Linked DNA regions of Cricetulus griseus. The protein of the gene in region 5 interacts with the protein of the main gene of each other region in a pairwise test. Links are inferred from orthologs where the notes say so. Each region holds a gene or a part of one and is shown on either strand. Other genes may lie near its edges.

Region 1 (4,539 bases), about 110 Mb from region 5:
TTAGAGCATTAGATTATTTCTAACTACAAGTAGCCCTATAAGACAAAAATTCTTGTACATTCATAATTTTATGCTTTCGTCGCCCAAACCCACAATTTCTGGATCATATTGGCTTCACCTTCTGTTTCTAAATCTGTCTCCTTACATGTCACTCTTGGAGAGTAACAGCTATCCTTCTTAACAGTGTTTTGTGAGGATATAGGGAGACAATGCACATAAGCATGTTTTGAAAATGGTATTTGTTAGTCACTATTTACATGTGATATATACATGTTAGGTGTTGGTAACTTTAATATCGATCAGAGTCTCAGTTCTCAACCTCATGAAACCAGAAATGTAATTTTCAATAAGTTTTAGTTCCTTTATTTGAAAGTAATGAAATAATGATAGTATTACATATGCCATTAGGGCTCAGTTGGCAATTCTATTAATTTAATTTTTCTCAGAATGGGAAAATTACTATAGAAACAGGATAATTTATTATGGATGCATTTTATTTACTATATGTAGCAATCATACAAGTAATCTGAATTCATCGTCAACTTGCTTGTGCCATTTTCACTTTTTCAAAAATATGCCTATGGGTTTTCATAAAAAGATAATTTGAAAACTAATCTGATAATTATGTCCACATAAAACACAAAGCTAAGGACATTATTCATAGAGCAGGCTCTTGCTTAGCATAAAATGTATTTTATATCTTCCAGAGGCAGGCTAGAACCACAGAAATGATGGAGACATGGGAAGGAAAGGAACCTTCATCTCAGAGTGCTACCAGTGCCTCTCGTCAGCTGAAATCATGAATTCTAACGAAGTTACAACATTATTTATGAAGGGTGCCAATAGAAAGGTAACATTTCTTTTATATAGAGATATCTCCAAATTAGAATGTTGAAGTAGCAATGGATCACGCCCAAGACCTAAACACAAGAGGCCTTTCTTCTTTCTCAGCTATAAACCAGCAATTTTCTAGGAATCTCACCAGAAACCCTATCTACAGTAAATACCTCTTACAGTTAATACCCTCTTCTACCATTCTTATGACACGTGGTTTTATTTTTGGACAGTAATCCAGTCTAGGACACCTCTAGAACCATCCAATAATATAACTTATTGAGAAAAAAAGAGAGAAAAGGTTTTAAAATCCTTTCTAAGAAATCTTTCAAGGCGTAACTTGAGAACCACCAAAAGAGTGACTCTCCAGAGCTCCTGCTAAGACACTTGAGGGTATAATGTCTTTGAAAAGCCTACACCTGTGTTCTTGAGCATGTCTTATTTTCCCTGAGTGATCATCTCTGTCAACCCCTATGCTTCATAAATCTATGTTTAAAATCTCTCTTTTTTAAATCAACTCCAACTCTTTCATACTAGCTAATTCCAACATTAATTTTTGCAGTAAAGCCAAGGAAGGGCTTCGCCTCAGTGGAAGTCCCCAAGGGTAAGAGGACTTCTTGGGCTGCTGGAAGCAGGTCTGGGCTGCTGCACCGAGGCTACCATAATCTTCACTAAAGGAATAATACAGACACTGCTGAAGACTTTAGATCAGTCTACCAATCTCTCTGTTACTTCAGGTCCCAAGATTTGGGGTCCTCATTTTGGCTGAGGGCTTCTGTCTTTAAAGGCACCATTTTATTTTATTTTTTGAGACAGAGTTCCCTTTATGTAGTGCAGGGTGACCTCAGATTTGAGATCCTCAGCTTCAGCTTTCCAAATTCTGGAGGATTAAAAGTGAACACCGATACATAGGACTGGCATTCTATCAAACTTATCTATCTATACTTAAGGAATTTAGGGAATTGTTTGTAGAGAGTGGGAGAGGCTAGGCAAGCAAGGGTGAAATAATGGCTGCACCCCACACTTTCCTTATTTTTACTGCCTACTTAATAATAAAGAAGGAAAGAAGCCTTATAGAGTTATTTAGTACATTCTATCTTTACCTCAAAAATGAAGGACCAGGTCCCTGTGACACAGATAAACCAATAGGGCCAGGAAAAAAGACTTTCCCCTCACAAGTCTTATGGGAAAAAAAAACTTTTAGTTTTTTACCACTAACCCCGAGGATCATTTGTAGTGAAAGAGATCTATAAAACAGCTGACCTGAACAAGGGAGAGCTCTTGGTCCCCAGACTGATAGCTGGGAAACCAGCATGGGACTGATCCAGACCCCCTGAATGAGGGTGTCAGTGAGGAGACCTTGGAAATCTATGGGGCCCCTTGTAATGGATCAGTATTTAGCCCTAGCATAGGAATGGACTTTGGGAGCCCATTCCACATGGAGGGATACTCCCTGAGCCTAGACACAAGGGGGTGGGCGTAGGCCCTATCCCAAAGGCTACCACAGACTCTGAAGACGCCCCCCATGGAAGGCCTCACCCTCCTTGGGGAGCAGAAAGGGTTTAGGATAGGTAGGGTGTTAGTTGGGGGGACAGGAGAGGATGGGAGAGAGAGGGAACTGAAATTGACATGTAAACTAATCTTTCTAATTAAAATTAAAAAAATTAAAAAAGAAAAAAATCTAAACGAGACCAAATGCCTCAAAATTTCCCAGCAATTTAGAAACAATGCTATTCCTAAAACACCACTTTACTCGTTTTGTAGACTGTGCACTACTTTGTCAACTGTAGTTTCAATGGATCCTTGTAAAAACCCTCCCACACAAGGCAAGGGAGATACTGTTGCCGTCATTCTACAAGAAAATAGTAAAACCTAAAGGCACCGAATGAGTGGCTTAAGGTTGCTTACAGTTAGGACAGAGCCAGGAGCCCAGCTCTCTTTTCTATCCAGTACTTTCTAGGCAAGAGGAAGTTCCCTTACAGGGCAGAGGAGGAGGGGGCCCAGCCTACAGGGGGCAGCTCTGCGTCTACTTCCCGTCTGTGAACACGCCGTTCTTACCCTTTCTCTTGGTTCTGGTCCTTATTCAGACTCTTATTTTTCTGCGCGGGTTTTAGTCCCTGGGAATCTCACTCCAAACTCCACACTCTCCAAACGAGTCGCGTCCTTGGTATCCAAGGTAGCCGCGCCGCTTGTGCAGCCTGGCCCTTCCGCTCTTTCCATTGGTCCGTGGGTCTCTTGGGCCAATGAGATTGGAGCAACGGCTAGGCTTTTCCACCAATCAGCTCGTGTCACTCTATCTCTCCGGCGCACTGTCTCCTGGGATATGTAGTTCCAAGGCCCCTGGAGCACTTGGATATCCGCTACCTTTAGAACTACATATCCCGGCGGCCTCCGACCAAGGGCGGCAATAGAGGAAGAGCAGGGTCAGGGTTTTAACCAGTGGTACTTTGAAGTTGTCACTTGTCACCGGGTTTGCTTTACAGCCTTCGGGCCTCTATCTCGGTGGCGAGGAGGCCTTGTTGGTCCCGCGCTGCGGAGCGGGCATGTGGGGCCGCCTCTTGCCGGGCGCCCTCCGCGGGCGGGCGAGCGTCCTCTTCCGGGGCTCGCACGGGGCGCGGCAGGGCTCGGCGCCCGGAGACCCGGCGCTGATGCAGTGGACGCTGCGGGTGAGCCCGTTCTGGCGGCTGAGGACGCGGCTCCCCTGCCACCTGCTCGTCAGGGCCCTGGATCCCCTGGCGCACCCGGACGGCGAGCGCGTGCGGGTGGCGGTGCGCGGTGCAGAGCGCGGGGCGCGCGGCCTGCAGGTGGAGTACGACGCCGCTCGGCGGGAGGTGGCCGTCCTGTCGGACGACATCGACCCCCGGGCCTTGGTGGAGGTGGACGCGCCCCTCAGGTTTGGCAAGTGCAGTGAAAACTGGTTAGGATTCCTGCTTTCCAACTTCATGGAACAAATAATAAGTTAACTATATAGATTTGGAGACCTACGGAGTAGAGGCATGGAGACAGTAACCAGAAGCAGGCTTCTGGTTAGAAGTAACGATGAGATTGGGATTGACAGCAGGGGTGGCATCAATTTTCACAGGTGCTGTTTTAAGTTTTGTTTAGCTCTCCATTGACACCCACCTGTGATGGTTTGAAAGAAAATGGCCCCCAAAGGGAGTGGCACTAATGGGAGGAGTGGCCTTGTTGGAAGAAGTGTGTCACTGTGGAGGGTGGGCTTTGAGGTCTCCTATGCTCAAGCGACTCCCAGTAAGACAGACTACTTGTTGCCTGCATAAGATGTAGAACTCTCAGCTCCCTCCCCAGCACCATCTGTTTGCAGCTGAAATGTCCCTCCATGATGATAATGGACTGAACCTCTGAACCATAAGCCACCCAATTAAATGTTTTCCGTTATAAGAGTTTCTGTGGTCATGGTGTCTTCACAGGACAGAAACTCTTAAGACACCACCTTAATCTGTATTGTGGTAAAGCCCCCTCAGCACCTTCAGATTAGTACATGTGGAAGGCACAGCCTCTTAGTCATCTAGGCTAGTCAGGTGAGAAGCAACAGAGCATAAAGGCTGAGCCATTCCAGTCAGCTCAAATCCTAGCCTCATTTCTTTGCATTTAAGGCGGCAAGGCAGCTAGAAAGTAAATTTCACAATGCCTCATTCATTCACTCATTTTTAGCAGCTTGATACAAGGGTATCAAAGCTTGATACA
Region 2 (3,141 bases), on a different chromosome or scaffold from region 5:
GGAGAGCTGTCTCAGTGGTTTAGGGCACTTGCTGTTCTAGCAGAAGACTCAGGTTCAGTTCCCAGCACCCACATGGCAGCTTACAACCATCTATAGCTTTAGTTCTAGGAGATCCAAAGCCCTCCTCTGGCCTCCACAGGCATCAGGAACTTAAATGCATTCTTAGTAAAAGAAAAAAAGAGAAAAGATAGCATTTTTAGTAGAAAAACTAAGAGTGAAGAAAACAGCCAGGCTGTGATGGTGCACGCCTTTAATCTAAGCACTCAGGAGGCAGAAGCAGGTGGATCTCTGTGAATTTGAAGCCAGCCTGGTCTACAGAGTGAGTTCCAGGACAGATTCCAAAGCTACAGAGAAACCCTGAAACCCTGTGGGAAAAACAAAAAACAAATAAACAAAAGAGTGAAGAAAAAAAGAACAATTCTATTTAAGTAAGTTATTACCAAACACCATTAAGTATCTGTTTCAAACAAAACTAAACAAAGCCACTTTCTTTTTAAATGTATCCATCCTCTGTATTAAGTCCTGTTCATGGCAGCCTTGACTTCTACCAGCTGGGATCCCAAGGCAAGTGGCCACTGCACAGAGGGTGAGTATGGCTCTGATCAATGACTCAAGGCTGCTTCTCAGCTTATTTCCTGTTACTGTGTATGATGGCCAATCTTGGCTGTCAACTTGACCACAGCTGGAATCAACTAAAACCCAAAACCCACGCAACTGGGCATGTCTGTGAGGGATTTTCTTGACTGGATCATTAGGGGTGGGAAGACCCACCCTAAATCTGGATCATTTGAGGTGGGAAGACCCATCCCAAGTCTGGACCACATAAAAGCACATGGAAGAAGAAAGCTTTTGCATTAGGCTTGCCTGCCCTCCCTCTCACTCCAATATCCCCCTCCCTCCCTCTCTTCCCCCCCATATATATGTATGTATTCTATCAGTTCTGTTCCTTTAGAGAACCCTAAAACACAGACAAGTGCAACTGAAGGGAGAAAGGGTTTATTAGGCTCATAATTTGAGGGTACAGTCCATCATTGCAGAAACATCAAGGCTGCAAGCACTTGGAGCAGCTGGTCACATGACACCCATGGTAAAGAACAATGGATTAATGCATGTCTGCTAGTGCTCAGCCTGCTCTCTCATTCCATCTAGGGCCCAGCCATGAAATGACACCACATTCAGGATGGCTCTTTTCACCACAATTAAGAAAATTCTGCAGGCTTGCCTGCAGGCCACCCAAATCTACAACATTCCTTGTTGAGACTCCCTCCCCAGGTCAAACAATCAATCACAACTAACAATCAATGGCATATGCCAACTAATCAGCTGGCATATTTGCCTACCTGAGCAGTCACTCCAAACCCAGAAGAATATAGCCAATGAGAGGTCACAACCCTGGATCTGAGTAGTAGTATCACTCTTCTCAGTTAACTTCTTTCTTTCCCGCTTTTCTTTTTCCTTTTTTTTTCCTTTTTTTTTTTTTTTTTTTTTTTTTTTGAGACAGCACCTCAGTATGTAGTCTTGGTTAGTCTGGAGGCTATGTAGACCAGGATGATCTCAAAATCACAGAGCTCACCTGTATTTGCCTCACCAGTGGTGGGTTTGATATTCCCAGCACTAAGTTACTTTTTTTTTTTTAACTTTATTTAACTTATTTCTTTTATGTGCATTGGTGTGAAGGTGTCAGATCCCCTGGAGCTGGTGTTACAGACAGTTGTGAGCTGCCATGTGGGTCCTCAAAAGCAGCCAGTGTTCTTAATTGCTGAGCCATCTCTCCAGCCCCCCTCAGTTACTTTTAACAGCAACAGGGGACCTCTCCAGGACAAAGCATTCAGAACCGCTCACGCTGCACCATCTCCCCCTGGTGGCTGGCTTTGGAAATGGAAATTGGCTTGATTCCTACTGGGAAGGGATAAACATTTTAAATGCTCCCTTTCCTTCAATCCGTCCCTTTTTTGGATTGAATCGGGCTTCATGTGTGCAACACACACACTGCTACTGCCCTTCACTCCTAGACCCACTCCTATCTTTAAACCACTAAGGACTCAAGATAGTGATACACACATAACCAAGACCTGAGTCAACCAAAGTGCTTCAGCTGACGCAGAGGCGGAGGCAGCTGTGGACCTTTGCCTCCTGTCCTTTCCTTCCTTGCCACTTCAAGCCTACTGATAGCGATGGACACCGCTTATCAGCGCTGCCTTTCCTGTTTCCTCCACCCCATCCACCTCCCAGAGCCGCAGGTGCAGTGGTCATGGATCCTTGGCCATGGCCTAGCAAGAAGTCATGCTAGGGACCTCTACCATAGGAACTGGTGTCTCAGTCCATCAGGCTGTGGTGCTGAGGTTCACTTAGAAAGCTGAGGGCTGCACTCAACTGCGGGACTCCTGATCTCCAGACACTGTGCAGCATCCTGGCTCCTCCAGGAAGAAGGAGACGCTCACCAGGATATCTAGAACAGGAAGAGGGGTACAAGACAGGGTTATTAAGGCCCCAAAGCACAGCAGGGTTGTCTCTAACACCTCCAAAGAGGCAAGCAGCAACAGGGATAGGGAGGCAGCATGGGGAACTAATGGAAACCAGTACCTGGCACAAGGGTTTGGCACTCATCTTCTGAAATTTGGTTCCAGGCCTTAGGCAGTGCTTGGATGCTGGCCAAGTCTCCCCAGTGGATGGAGGAAAGGAGGTATTTTCTCTTCAGGTACCTTCCCAGAAGTTAAGGACTGTTCAAAAAAAGGAAATCTGGGAAGCTAAAAGTGACATCAATATACCTTCCCAGGTGGGCAGGGTTCACCAGTGCCAAGAGGAATGATGAGCACCAGTACCGCAGTACAACTTGATGCTACTAGGAAAGGGACTCGGATCTCACAGGCTGAGGGTGGACCAGACAGAAGAGCAAAGTGACTTGAAAGATAAAACTCAGTGACAGGGGACTGGAGTGATGGCTCAGTGGTTAAAAGCATCGACTGCTCTAACAGAGAACACAAGTTCCCAGCACCCACATGGCAGCTAACAGCTATCTGTAACTTCAAGATCTGAGACATACATGGTTATTAAGACATACATGCCGGCAAAATACACAGACATACATGCAGGCAAAACACCAATGCACATAAAATAAAAGTAAATACATTATTAAAAAAA
Region 3 (4,629 bases), about 62 Mb from region 5:
CATTAGAGAATTCATAATAAATAGAGTCCTTCAAATATTTTAAAACATTAAAAAAGTTTCAGCATATAGGCTTTAGAGGCACAGCTCCCAGACCACTGCTGACATGTGTATATGCCCTGGGAACAGCATTCCAGCGTCATGGGTCGTTCTATAGGGCATTTGATTCACCAGAGTGATCCCAGACTGAAACAAGTCAGGCCAACACTAACAGCATTAGCATGTGTTCACTCATTCACTCAGCTAACATATTCCGAAGTTTACACGTCATGATTTAAGAAGTAGCAGCAGCCCAGGTGTTGGTGTACACTTGTAATCCAAGCACTTGGGAAGTGTTTGCAGGAGGATGAGTTCAAGGCCACCCTTAGCTCCACAGTGAATTAGAAGCCACGCTAAAGTACATGAGGTCCTTCCCCCACCCCCAAAGAAAGCAAAACAAAAAGCAAAGTAAAAACCCAAACCCGCAATGCAATGCACTTGTTCTCTTGTCTTAGATGTGAAAGGAACACCCTAGGAGCTATTGATGAAGGGAATGGAGAGAGTTCAGTATTAATGTCTTCTTCAAACGTATTTTGCGTGGCCAAACCAGGAGAGAGGAAGGTCTGTGGGGGCTGGGGAAGTGATTTCACATTTTTGATAACAGAAAGTCCTGTTACCACTGCAAACACCCAGCGTTTGAGTTAAAAAGCAGGTGAAGTCAAATTGCTAACATGTCAGCTCTTCCTCTCTCTGAGCTAAACTTTCCCCATCAATCCTGGTAGGTCACCAGGGAAAAGCAGCAGAGAAGGAAACGCTGGCTTTGGCGGCGGAGTGTCGCCCAATTAATGTCGTTCTGGGAGTCACCTGAAGCCTTCCAGCTACTGCACCCAAGGAGCAAGCTTTGCTTTTCAATTCGGTCATTTCCATGGGGAATTGCGGTACGCGCAGGTCTTGGGTGTGGCGATGTCGAGACGGAGCTCACATCTCCAGGCTTTCCACCTTCTGGCCAACCCACCCAGCTGAGAAAACTACGGATGAAACGGACCTGCCTTCCTGAAACTCAGGGACCGCGAAGGACCGAGACCAGGCGGCCACTGCCCAGCGCCAAAGCCAGGCTGCGCGCTCCGCGCGTGTAAGCTTCTCCCCAACCCGCTCTGTGCGGGGAGGCGGATCCCCTTTCCTGCGCACAAGTCCTTATATGCACCGGTTGCACCGGCCCGCCTTTACTCCAGCCCCACAAATAATTAATGGAGGAGGCTGGACGCTGCTGTCTTTTCCCGCTGCCTTTCCTCACCACCCTTTACACTATTAGAGCATCTGAATCCAGTCAAGAAACCCCAAGATGCGATCGAAGGGCCATTTTGGTGCATTGCACAAATTGGACACATTAAAAAATAGCCTTCGGATCTCTGTACAGCGAGGTTCAAGATCTGCTCTTCGATTCAGCACTATTAACCCGCAAAAACTGGGACGGAAAGGGTGCGCGCCCCTCCCCCACCCAGGCTAGTGCAGAGGGACCCGGTCAGGAAGCGCGGCCTCTCCCCAGTCGGAGACCACGCCTCCTCCCCCCCACTCCTCCCAGGAAGCGGTGATAGACAGTTCTGTGTGGTTCTCCACCCCCACCCCCCCAGCTGAGTGGAGGAGTTGATATGTCTCATTATAACAGCCAATGCAGCCGCCATCCACGCACAAGCAAAGAAGCATGTCCCATTTAAATACACCCACGCAGCCCCAGCGCCCTTAGCCGATCAGGGCGCGCAGCCCACACGCACCGCGGCTCCGGGCTTGGAGATCCGCGCAGGTCGGGCTCCGGGATCCCGCGGATCGACACTCTCGGAAGATCGGGATCTCACTCTGGTTGGGGCCCGGGTGGGCGGGGGAGGCTGGGCCCCGGGCCTCTCTGGCGGACAGCCGCATGAGGACGCGAGCGACATAGACCAGGGTGGAATTGCCAAGGCAGACGTTTCTGGCTGGTTTTGGTCCATTTCTCCCGCGAAGAGTCGACATGGCGAGCGACTCCCCAGCTCGCAGCCTGGATGAAATCGATCTCTCCGCCCTGAGGGTGAGCAGAACGTGGTTTTTTTTTTTTTTTTTTTTTTTTTTTTTTTTTTTTTTTTTTTTTTTTTTTTGTGTGTGTGTGTGTGTGTGTGTGTGTGTATGTTTGTTTGTTTTCCCCCCTTTCTTTTCAATGGTCTGGGGCTGGGCGAGGGAACGTTCCCGGTCTTCCTATCCTGATTCCAGGGCAGCGGATGGGGTTCTAGGCTGAGCCCCTACCCTACAGCAGGGGCTGGGCTGCCCTTGTGCTCCTCGACTGTGCTTCCCGAGGCTCCGCAGGGAAGCCGGTGGAGCTTATGTCAGTTTCATCTTCGATTGGTGTAAGAGAATTACATGGAAGGAGTGTGTGTGTGTGTGTGTGTGTGTGTGTGTGTGTGTGTGTGTGTGTGTGTGTGTGTGTGTGTGTGTGTGTGTGTGTGTACCCGAGCAACTGTCTCTTGCCAAGGCTCGAGACCCGACTGCTCTTTGCTGCAAAAAGAATTTCCTCAAGAATAAAGGCACTGGCCTCTCAGGTTTGCCAGCTACCTGCAAGATGCCATCGTGAGTCTAGCTGTCTCCACCAGCCGACCCTGTCGCTCCAAGGGGGCAGTAATTGCTGTTCCGGGCTGGTCTAGTAGATGGCAACTGACCCCTCCCGGGTTCTGCCTCTGGTGCGGGGGCTCAGGCTCAGCGCTTCCCTCGACGCCAGGGTGCACTCACCTTTATCTGCGGTTTGAACTCAGCCCTGCCTATGCCTTTCTAACTCGGTGACTGTGACCTTTCAGTTTTATGGCTGAACTTCAGCAGGTGAAAGGGACGCTTTAGCAGCTTCTCCCTACCACACCGGAACTCCCTGGAGAGACTGTGTGTGCGTGTGTGTGTGTGTGTGTGTGTGTGTGTGTGTGTGTGTGTGTGTGTGTGTGTGTGGTTCCCGGGTCTGTGACCAGTCCTTTGTAGAACACCTTCCCTTCCCCCAACTCTGCCGCTTTGCCTTTACCTTCTTCCGAGACACCTCAGACGTCGTTCCATTGTATTGAATAAGACTTTAGTGATCTAGAATCCATTTTGCTGTTGTTTGGAGATCATACTGCCAGGAACCCCATTGCAGCTTCGACGCTTCCCCACCCCCACCCCTAATCCCAGCACACTCCTTCGGGGAAGGGAGCCCAGCGTTCTTGCCATTTTAATTAGATGCTGCCTGCCAGGAAGGGGGTAAGGAGGGGTGGTGATGGTGGCAGCAGCAGGGATCTGAGAAAGATTGGACACCAATCTCAGTACGACTAGTTTCTTCCTCTCCTGAACTAAAAATAAAATAAAGAGCAAATGCATATGCTTGTTGCCAGTAGGGTAGGTGAGACTGAAGGGATGGTGGCTCATGTCACCGACTGTCAGTATAGGTGGAAGTTGAGTGATCTTCCTGAACACATTGTTAGATTGATGATGCTTAATCTCGAGGCCATTTACCTGTGTCTCGGAAGCTTTTCCTGCAGTTACCTCTTTCTCTACAGACATTTTTAAAAGGTAGCTACCTGTCTGATTGAAGTGATACTTTTTCCTTAGGCTCAGAGCCACTTTTCCGCCCACACCTTGAATCCTTGGCCCTTTCCTTATCTTTTGGTCCAGAAAGGTGGAGGATTCAGAGAGGCAGGCTGAGGACTGACTGACTGCCCTTTGAAACCGGCTGCGGGCTGCAGTGATAGTGGAGCAGCAAAAGCTCATTCATGCATGATTACAGTAGGCTGTCCGTTCCTCTAGTGCCCAAAGGCCACATCCGCAACCAGGGGGCAACTGAGTGTGGGGGTGGGGCTCAGAGTGGGTGCTTTGGGCCAGTGCATGTGTGACTCTCTTATCACTGTGCTCTCTTTTGCTCCACTTCTGCCTGGACCAGTGGCCCAGACTTGGGGAAGGAGGAGTGGCCAAGTGGTAGCTGCCTGAACAATGAGCCAGGCTTGTGATTTAGCTGAGACAGAATCTTAGCATCATTCTCCCTGACATGATTTTTAAGTTGGGGGGCGGGTGTATGGCTCCTGTGGGCCAGATTTTCTGAGATGCCTAGCGCACAGAACCTGTCCTCAGGGCTACTAGATTCTCATTCAGGGAGACCTGTGTCCTGTAATCTGTATTTGGAACAGGTATCTTTGCATGATTCACTAGGATTGCTCTTTGTCACCTGGGAAGCTCAAAGGATCCTCTGCCTTCACTGGGGTATGCAAAGAGCTAGGACAACAGCTACTCCCTGTGCCTGGGAGCTGATGGCTGAAAGACTTCTGCAGATGGGCAGACAGTTGTACTCAGCAGGCCTTGGAGCTTCAGGCAGTCTTGTGGTGGGTGAGGCGTGCAGGTACGTTTGCCTCCCAGGGCTAGTGGCTGGGCCACACACATCAGAGAGGAGATGCTGGCTGGCTCCCCAGATTTGGAGATGTTGGTTCCTAAGCTTGCTAAAGCCTGTAAGCGAACACCTCCTGAGGAAAAGCCTGACCCCTGAAATGCAGGCAAGGTCAGTGAGTCAGCCTGCCAACCCCTCCATGTTCCTGTGGCTCTTTAATGTATACAATCAATGCTCTTTGTAAACCCTGGGCTTGGTGCTTTAAAAGCAGCTCCTGTCTGGAGAGGCCTTTC
Region 4 (4,112 bases), on a different chromosome or scaffold from region 5:
GGATCAAACATTTTAATCCCAAACCCACTGGGTTTTATCTCAAATTCTGACTTCAATTTCTGTGTTTATGGCTTCATTTTTATACTAGAATATCTTAAGAACCTACAGTACCCATATGGGAAATATCTGCAAATGTCTCATTTTGTAACATTGGTAAATTTCTGCTTTAGAATATTAAAATAAGGATTGGTATTTTTTAAAGGTACAAAACAAGCCCAAGTTGACATAAAGTGTTTTTAATGACCCATTTGTGATTTATATTGCAAATTTTAAATGCAAGCTAAGTGGGAAATAAATGAGACATGATTCCCAGCCTTTCTATATCCAAAGCAACAAATTCTTCCACTAACTTTAGTATTGCATAATTCAATCTACACATCAGAGGAAGCTGTGTGTTGGATATGGCTAGGGAAGTGACAGTTCAGATAGATGTGTGTAGGGTCATCCAGGTAACTCCAACAGGCTACAGGAAAATGATGCTCACTTCCCCGCTGTGAATTCTGCATTCCTCATTGTAAAATCAAGAAATAGTTTTAAGCTGATGTTCTGTTGATGGCCTTCTTTTTATATTTGTCCTTTAGTACATGATCATGTATTTTTCTGGTAAGAGACTCCATTTTTATACCTAGAATATGTCACTAGAGCCCTTTATTTATCCAGAAGCCAATTTAAAATTCTAGAAATGTAAGAGTCACCATATGAAACCATGATCTGTGTTTGGTATGTACTTTAAGTCTCTCAGTTTTCAAAAGCATATATTTGGTAAGGAATTGATATTTGATATGCAAATATGTCATATAATAAGAGATTGGATCATTACAAAGAAATCAAATAAAAGATCTTCTTTCTGGAAATTTAGGAATTAGACAGAGAAACAAATTGCTATTTCCACAAAGAGGAATTCCAGACCCATCATCCATATGAAAGCAGCCATTCTTTCTGAAATGTCACCAATTCTTCAGCACTTACTGTACTGTTCACTTCTGTAGCTTTCTTTCAGAAATTCAAACAATCAAGGATATTGTACAATGTGCATGACATTTTCCATAGCATGTCAAAATAAGAGCCCTATAAAAGTGCAATCCTTCCCCCCAGTGCGCATCCAATGGCTGCTTTCTGATACCTGTAAGGAATCTTGGTGTACTTGGTTTATCATTGTACAAATCAGCAGCCTTACCTTGCCCAGCTGGTCCTTCTTGACGAAACCAGTGGCAGCAGCAATGTTCCCTGCTCCCTCCACTGTCTTCTGGGCAACTGCTGTCACACCAGTCACCACTGCCCCTCCAACATTTGTCACTTGCTCTTTGGTCTTCTCAGCCACTTAAGAAAATCAAGAGCAACAACATTAAAAGATAGTGGTGTGGCAGACCTTAATTCTGCTTCCAATAGCTGTCAACTTCTACATACACCCATGCCATAGATAGCAAGAGTCTGAAGAAACAAGACACCAAGGGAGAACCAACAGGGTGCAGCCAAACACTGGGTCTGTGTTACAATTATGTATAGACTAGAAAATCTTGAGAGTTTAGTTATAACACAATGCAAACAAGATTTGGTTTGCCTTGAGGCACATAGACAGAAAACAAGGCACTAGGTACAGTATTAAGTTGTCAGACTCTTTGAGCACTATTTCAGTTTCGATGCCAACTATTTGATCTCATTTACAAAGTTCACTTCCATTATCTGCTCAAAGTACATGCCTCTCCCACATCTAGATTCACTGTTTTCTATGTACAAAATTCAAAATGTTCCTAAATCTTTCACTTTCACGTACCACCAATTCGTACCACCAGCAGAAAATTTCAACCATAAACTTTGTTGCATGTTCAGAATTATTCTAAAATAGAATATGAAATTGCCCTCAGATAATATGTACAGGTATATATAGTATAAGTGAATTTCATGTTTAGACTTGCGTCCTATTACCAAGACAACTCATTATAAGTGTGCATTTATCCCCAAATCAAAAATAATTGAAATCTAAAGCAAGTGTTCCTTAAGCACCTCTGATAAGGAGGCCCTATGTGTTCAAACATGCTCCTAGAATGATTTGGAAATAGGTGATAGAAAAAGACATGGTAAAGAAAAAGATAGTTATTTTAAAAGATTATTTTTAATTATGTGTACTTGTGTCTCTTGGGGCAGTTATGTGCACATGTGTGCAGGTGCACAAGGATGCCAGATAGTGTTGTCAGATCCCCTGGGGCTGGAATTACGGGACAATGAAGGTCTCCCAGCATGGGTGCTGAGAACATAATTCTGATCCTATGGAAGAGGAGCAAGTGTTCTTCACACTGAGCTATCCCTCCAGCCAAACAAAAATGTTAAGACAAAATTTCAGTTAATGCAAATCAAATGTATTTCCATTAACTCCATAGTTCCATGCAAGGAGTGAAAGACATGAGAGCCCACTTTTTAAATAATACTAAGTGAAAAAGTAAAAGAACCTGTCTGCACCTGAACCTCTAAATCCTATATCCACAAAGGCAAATGTCTCCCAACTCTCATTCGAATGGATGTCATGTTTGCCTTTCATTTACTCTACAATTTTTTTTTATTTTGCCCCATATATCAGCATTAGGTTGTTGAGTCCCCACTCCTCCTGTGTTTTCTCTCTTGAGCAAAAAAGCATGTTCTTCTTCAGGATCTCCTGAGAAGCCTGTATCCTCGTAGCCTGAGCTGAGGAATCACACCACATCAACTGTTCACATGGTTACTGCACTATACAGATTTCATGTCATCAGCCAGAAAGACAAATAATCCAATAATGTGGACAATGAAAATTAATTCGGAAGGAACAAGTTGTGAAATGAAGTTTAGTTGGCTTGTAAAGTCACAGCTGACCCCTTAGACCAAGCAGTGTGGGGAAGCCTGAAGGTCACTCAGACTGCAACCAGAATTCACATAGGTGACTCTATAGCTGCCTTTCAGGTTTGAGCTAAGTCTGCCTATGGAATCCCTGCCCCTCAGTGTGCTACTTGAAGAGCACTGGATATTCACAGTAATTTTAAAGGCCAGAGCAGAGCTATATTAGAAAAATTGATTTTAAACAGCACTGGAATTATACTGAACTCTGTTTCAGCTTGTTACTTTTTCTTCCAAGAATATGATTTAAAAATTTGCTTGAGATTAACATTTTCTTGTTAAAACATCTCAAAGCAAGACAAAATAGGCTTTGCCTTTTTACATCCTCATGTTTTCTGCCAACCATAAACTTTACTTAATGTGCACACTTCTTTATATAAATATAAACTTTAATCTGTTATTTTTAAAACACAAAAATTGTACAGTAAGTATAATTTATACGTGATTTCCATTTTACTGTTTTATAAAAATAATAAAGAACATTATAAAATGACAGAATATGGTAGTATAATAATAGCTATGGCTAAAAAGATAAAATTATAAACATCTGTAGGAATATATTCTGTCTTTAAGGTTTACAGTTTATCTACTCATTGGCACTGCCTTAAAAAACAAAAGGAAACAAACCTTTTAGTGCTCTGTCTGTTTAATAAATGACTTCTATTTTGTGGTTAAAGATGTTATAATAATGATCAAAAGAGAATTTAGCTACTATCTTAGTTAGGGTTTCTACTGCTGTGATGAAACAGTATGACCGTAAAGCAAGTTGGGGAAGAAAGGGTTTTATTCAGATTATACTTCCACATTGCTGTTCATCACCAAAGGAAGTCAGAACAGGAACTCAAGCAGGGCAGGATCCTGGGGCCAAAAGCTGCTTACTGGCATGCTTGCCCTAGCTTGCTCAGCCTGCTTTCCTATAGATCTCAGGACCAGCAGCCCAGGGGTGGCACCACACACAATGGGCTGGGCTCTCCCCCATTGATCACTAATTGAGAAAACACCTTACAGCTGGATCCGATGGAGGCATTTCCTCAACTAGGCTCCTTCTTCTCTGATGACTCTAGCTTTGTGTCAAGTTGACACATTAAACGAGCCACTGTACCTCCCAATCAATAGATACAGTAGAATTCAAATTGACTTGTGTTTATCCCAATGTGTCAGTCTTGCCCATTTGGAAAGTAGACTTCCATCTGAAGGCTTCTTCTTTTCAAAGCCTTTCTCCTTCTCCACTCCTGTCTATGCAGCTG
Region 5 (4,112 bases):
TGAACAGTTCCCCCCTTACCCAGGCCACGAGGCAGACCTAAGCTCCTCAGAAAGCTTCCCCTCTAGTCCGGTTTTTGGGAGCTGGGCCTCCAGCTGGGACACTCTCTGGATGAGACTCTCCAGGTCCTTTTTGGCCTGTAGCCCTGGAGGGTAAAAAGCCCCAGTGCCATCAGACAGCCACCCTTCATCTTCATCAGTGACACTATGAGGTGAAGACCCCTCAAGGGTTGCAATGGTTCTCAGCTTCCGGGGTCTCTCCAGACTGGAGGAGTAATCACTTGTAGCTGAAAGGGACCGGACCCGGCTCCTGAGGTTCTGAATGACTTTGTTGGCATTCTGGAGCTGGGCTTTCAGATCTCTGATGTCCTTCCTCAGGATAGAGCTGTCATCAGAACTGCCATGCACTTGAAACTCCTCCTGCCTCCCCAGGTTGTTCCCGAAAGGCTTCTTTGCAGGTGGGCTGTCCAGGACGGGGTCCAGATACCCCTGATCAGAGCACAGCCCCTCCAGGAGCATCACAGGCCTTGGGCTATTGTGCTCCTCACACTCTGAAAGAGAGAAAGACATCTTCCTGAAGAAGAGCTGGAGGTGCTGCTGTGGCCACTCCATTGTGGGGAACAGGCTGGTCACAGGATCAAGTGCTGGGGTAAAACCCAGAGCAGTGCTTTCTTTAGGTCGGGCTGTATGTTAGGCACTCATGTTTAGCATTCCTTCCTGAATAGGCCTGTGAGCAAGGTGCAGCCACTTTTCATCTTGTTGGCTGGAGAACCCAAAAGCTCTCCAGGAGGCGGTGAAGGTGGTAAGCTAGCTAGTCACAGACCATGCAGAACACACAGCAGACCCAAACCCTCCTGTGCCCTGTGCCCTTAACACACAAGTCAGTCAGTGCCTCCTAAGTGAGACATTAACAAAGCCTCATAGCTTTAAAATGAGCATAAGGACTACAAAACAACAGTGCTTCTGCAACATCCCGGAACAGTGCTATAACTTAAAATGATTGGGCTAGATCAGACAGTGGTGGCATGCACCTTTAATCCCAGAACTCAGGAGGCAGAGGCAGGCAGATCTCTGAATTAGAGGCCAGCCTTGTCTACAGAGTGAGTTCCAGAACAGGGTCCAAAACTACAGAGAAACCCTGTCTTGAAAAACCAAAACCAAACAAAACAAAATACAAAACAGACAAACAAACAAAAAACCAAAAAATAAACTATTGGATTGTAACAGCAAGAAAAGTAGGCCCAGGAAAACAAGACCTTCCAAATAGATCAGTCAGTATATTACCACAAGCTGTGCCAGGGCGGTGGCAGCCACGATGACAGTCAGTCACCATTTTACTAGTAAAATGTTGGTCAGGGTATTTTACTAGAGTTTATTCATTTCGGTTGATATGAGTACCCAGTGAGTTGGACAATTGCTTTATTGCTGTTTTAGCGGATGGAGAAATTGAGGCACAAAGAAAAACTGGGTTTGCACCAAGCAGTCTGATCTTTGGATATCTGTCCCTGACTGCCCCACTATACTGCCTCAGCTTCAAATCTGTAGGAATTCTGTGGTTCCCAATAGTCCTTTGTGAGTACAAAACCAAAATTTTATTCTAAACTTAAGTTTAGGTATACATCAAAGCCCACATATCAGTTTCCTAATAAAAAAGCATAGGTATTTCTCTATAATAGCAGTTATATTGAATTCTTTTTTATTAGCCGTGTGCTAGAAGCTATAGAAGTTCAAACTGGTTGCCCCATTTTGAAGAGTTCTCCAAAGTTCCTGTCCTTCCCTGGTCCTGGGTCTCCTTCAGTCACAACTCCCCTGCCCCACTGCTCATCATGGGTGGGAGTGGCCTCAGGCGTCCAAATGCAGCATTTGACTCTAGAGAGAGAAAGGGGCCCTGTGTGCTTACCGGGGCTGGTGGTCTCGTCACGGTCAGCTTCATTCTCACTCCGGCCACAAGTCTCGTAGCCCAGGTCTTGAAGGTCCACCTGGATTTGCTTGCTGTCCTGTTTCACCAGGGATTCACCTGTGTTTGGGAAGAGACAGTGGGTGGAATAGGGTCCCACATGTTACCCCAACCTCAACGGCACATACCCTAGCCTGTAAGGCCAAGAAGTCAGAGCCAGGCTGGGGAAGAGGTTTTCTTGGACCCTGATGGGAGAAGATACAGCCTGTTATAGTTTATAGGCACCCTCCCCACCTGGGTGAGCCCATGGTTGCCATGGAGAGGCTCTCTTCTGAAAACTGAGGCTTAGTTGAGACTAGACATGGACAAGTCAGGAGTTACATGTTGCTGTGTCAGGAAGCTCCACTGAAATCATTAGGCCCTGTGTCTATAAGGTCTTAGTTTCAATGGAGCTGAGGTGATTAAGAGTCTTGAGACATCTAGCCCTGCCCTGTCCAATAAGGTAGCACTTACCTACCTATGATTATTCTTTATCAAACTAACCAAATTCAGCTTGCTAAGTTCATGCAGCACTGTCCCTGGGTTAAGTATTGATTCTAGAGCAACAGGGATGCTGGGATTTTGAAGAATCTGTTACGGTGCAAAGGAGGGGAAACATAACACACAGAGAACCAAGTCAGCTAACTGACAGCCCTGGAAATCAGCAAGTACAGACGTTAATCTGTTTCAGCCCTTTATTTTTCAACCTAGATTTAAAGATGTGTTTATCTTTACTTCACATGTAATGAATGTTTTGCCTGTGTGTACATATGTGCACTGTGTGCATAGCTAGAGGCCAGAAGAGAGTGTTGGATGCCCTGACCTGTAGTCACAGAGGGTTGTGAGACACCTGGTGGGTTCTGAGAACAAAACTGGGGTCTTCTGCAAGAGAAGCAAGTGTTCTAAAGTACTGAGCCACCCCCAGCCCCATCGCTGTAATGTTAAAACCTTGTTTTCTTCCTTTATTCATTACATCCATGTACAGGTTGGAGTAAAATATTCACACACAGTTCTATAACTATAGTCGTGGCTGAAGTGTTTACAGGTTGGGGTAGAAAGATAAAAGCTGAGAAACAGGTGACTTCATGGGGAGAGGACACTTTGATGACCATAAGTTGGTGACACTCACTGAATATGGCCCTGTACTTCTCCAGCTGGTTTGCCTGGGCAAACACAGTGGCTTCTGAGATGAGTAGCTTCTCCTGGAGGTCTTGATACCGTTGTCTGCACTGAGCCAGCTGGGAACGCAGGTGTTTGGTGGACCCTGATAGGCTAAATTCTGGCTGGTGTCCAGAGTCTTGGGCCTGGGGTTTGTTCTCCAGCTGTGAAAGGACCCAGTACAAGTATTAGGTTACCCTCTATGTGTGACAGCCACCTCTCTGTCTCTGAACACTGTGGACTGCATGCATTACGTGCTTGCCACAGCAGTTCTCAGGCCATTTGGCAGTTCTCTATCTTCCAGGCAGCTCCCGGGCAGCTGGGATAATGTTACATTTATGTTTCTCTCTGCAGCACTGCAGCACAGTGCCAGTCAAGTTTCTAGAACAGCCTGTAGTAAACATTTACACAATCGCTTGCAAGGAAGATGTGGAAATCTCCACTCCATCCTCTCTGCATTTCTGTCCCTGGAGCCCTTCTCAGAATTCTCTATTTCACCAAATCTAAGGCAAAGTTCCTTCCCTCAGAAGGGTATCAGTGACCTCTCACGAGGCCATCACACAGACACTCCAGAACCTCCGAGGAAGCAGCAGTGGTAAGAAGATAGCATTGCACACCATTGGTCTGGCCTCCATCAAGACCCAGAGCATCCCAATAGTATGGCAGTCACATCCAACAAGAAGTCAGTGTCTGAACATTCTCCTCCACATGCTGAGCACCTGGAGGGCAGACATCAACTCATAACCCACATCCAACGCAGTGTGTAACTAGGAATTAAATGCTCAGAAACACCCATTCAATGGTATGGAACCCTTTCTAATAATGCCGAATGGATGCCTCCAATTACAGAGCCCTGCTTGCAGCATCAAAGTACACCCCCCCTCAGTACTTCCTGACCCACGTGGCAGAACAGTGTAACACAAAAACTGAAACCTTGGCCCTTCTTTGGGTTTCTCACCTTACCCTGCCCTCACTTACTTGGTGGGTGTCCACTGAGAGGGCTGCCCCGAGATTGAGGCTC

Evidence for each region.
Region 1: the proteins of myomegalin (region 5) and Ccdc146 interact in binary tests that used the Homo sapiens proteins (3 or more experiments, as listed by UniProt). The two-hybrid records come from large-scale screens. The link is inferred for Cricetulus griseus from reciprocal best matches to the Homo sapiens genes PDE4DIP and CCDC146.
Region 2: the proteins of myomegalin (region 5) and CUNH1orf109 interact in binary tests that used the Homo sapiens proteins (3 or more experiments, as listed by UniProt). The two-hybrid records come from large-scale screens. The link is inferred for Cricetulus griseus from reciprocal best matches to the Homo sapiens genes PDE4DIP and AIRIM.
Region 3: the proteins of myomegalin (region 5) and Tnik interact in a two-hybrid assay, tested with the Homo sapiens proteins (2 studies listed by BioGRID and IntAct). The link is inferred for Cricetulus griseus from reciprocal best matches to the Homo sapiens genes PDE4DIP and TNIK.
Region 4: the proteins of myomegalin (region 5) and Snca interact in a two-hybrid assay, tested with the Homo sapiens proteins (2 studies listed by BioGRID and IntAct). The link is inferred for Cricetulus griseus from reciprocal best matches to the Homo sapiens genes PDE4DIP and SNCA.

Annotation. Positions count from the first base shown.
Region 1 is NW_023276806.1:173,067,410-173,071,948, reverse strand, and holds the start of Ccdc146 (coiled-coil domain-containing protein 146), read right to left. Parts: upstream 3,046-4,539; 5' UTR 2,893-3,045; intron 1-2,892. Other genes in the region: protein FAM185A, read left to right, coding at 3,378-3,732. UniProt on the Homo sapiens protein: Essential for sperm flagellum biogenesis and male fertility.
Region 2 is NC_048595.1:28,111,315-28,114,455, forward strand, and holds the end of CUNH1orf109 (uncharacterized protein C1orf109 homolog), read right to left. Parts: intron 2,703-3,141; coding exon 2,584-2,702; intron 2,450-2,583; coding exon 2,370-2,449; 3' UTR 981-2,369; downstream 1-980. UniProt on the Homo sapiens protein: Part of the 55LCC heterohexameric ATPase complex which is chromatin-associated and promotes replisome proteostasis to maintain replication fork progression and genome stability.
Region 3 is NW_023276806.1:120,727,666-120,732,294, reverse strand, and holds the start of Tnik (TRAF2 and NCK-interacting protein kinase), read left to right. Parts: upstream 1-1,573; 5' UTR 1,574-1,981; coding exon 1,982-2,038; intron 2,039-4,629. UniProt on the Homo sapiens protein: Serine/threonine kinase that acts as an essential activator of the Wnt signaling pathway. Recruited to promoters of Wnt target genes and required to activate their expression. May act by phosphorylating TCF4/TCF7L2.
Region 4 is NC_048601.1:81,930,133-81,934,244, reverse strand, and holds part of Snca (alpha-synuclein), read right to left. Parts: intron 1,321-4,112; coding exon 1,178-1,320; intron 1-1,177. UniProt on the Homo sapiens protein: Neuronal protein that plays several roles in synaptic activity such as regulation of synaptic vesicle trafficking and subsequent neurotransmitter release.
Region 5 is NW_023276806.1:58,761,976-58,766,087, reverse strand, and holds part of myomegalin, read right to left. Parts: coding exon 4,070-4,112; intron 3,256-4,069; coding exon 3,063-3,255; intron 2,015-3,062; coding exon 1,898-2,014; intron 549-1,897; coding exon 20-548; intron 1-19. UniProt on the Homo sapiens protein: Functions as an anchor sequestering components of the cAMP-dependent pathway to Golgi and/or centrosomes.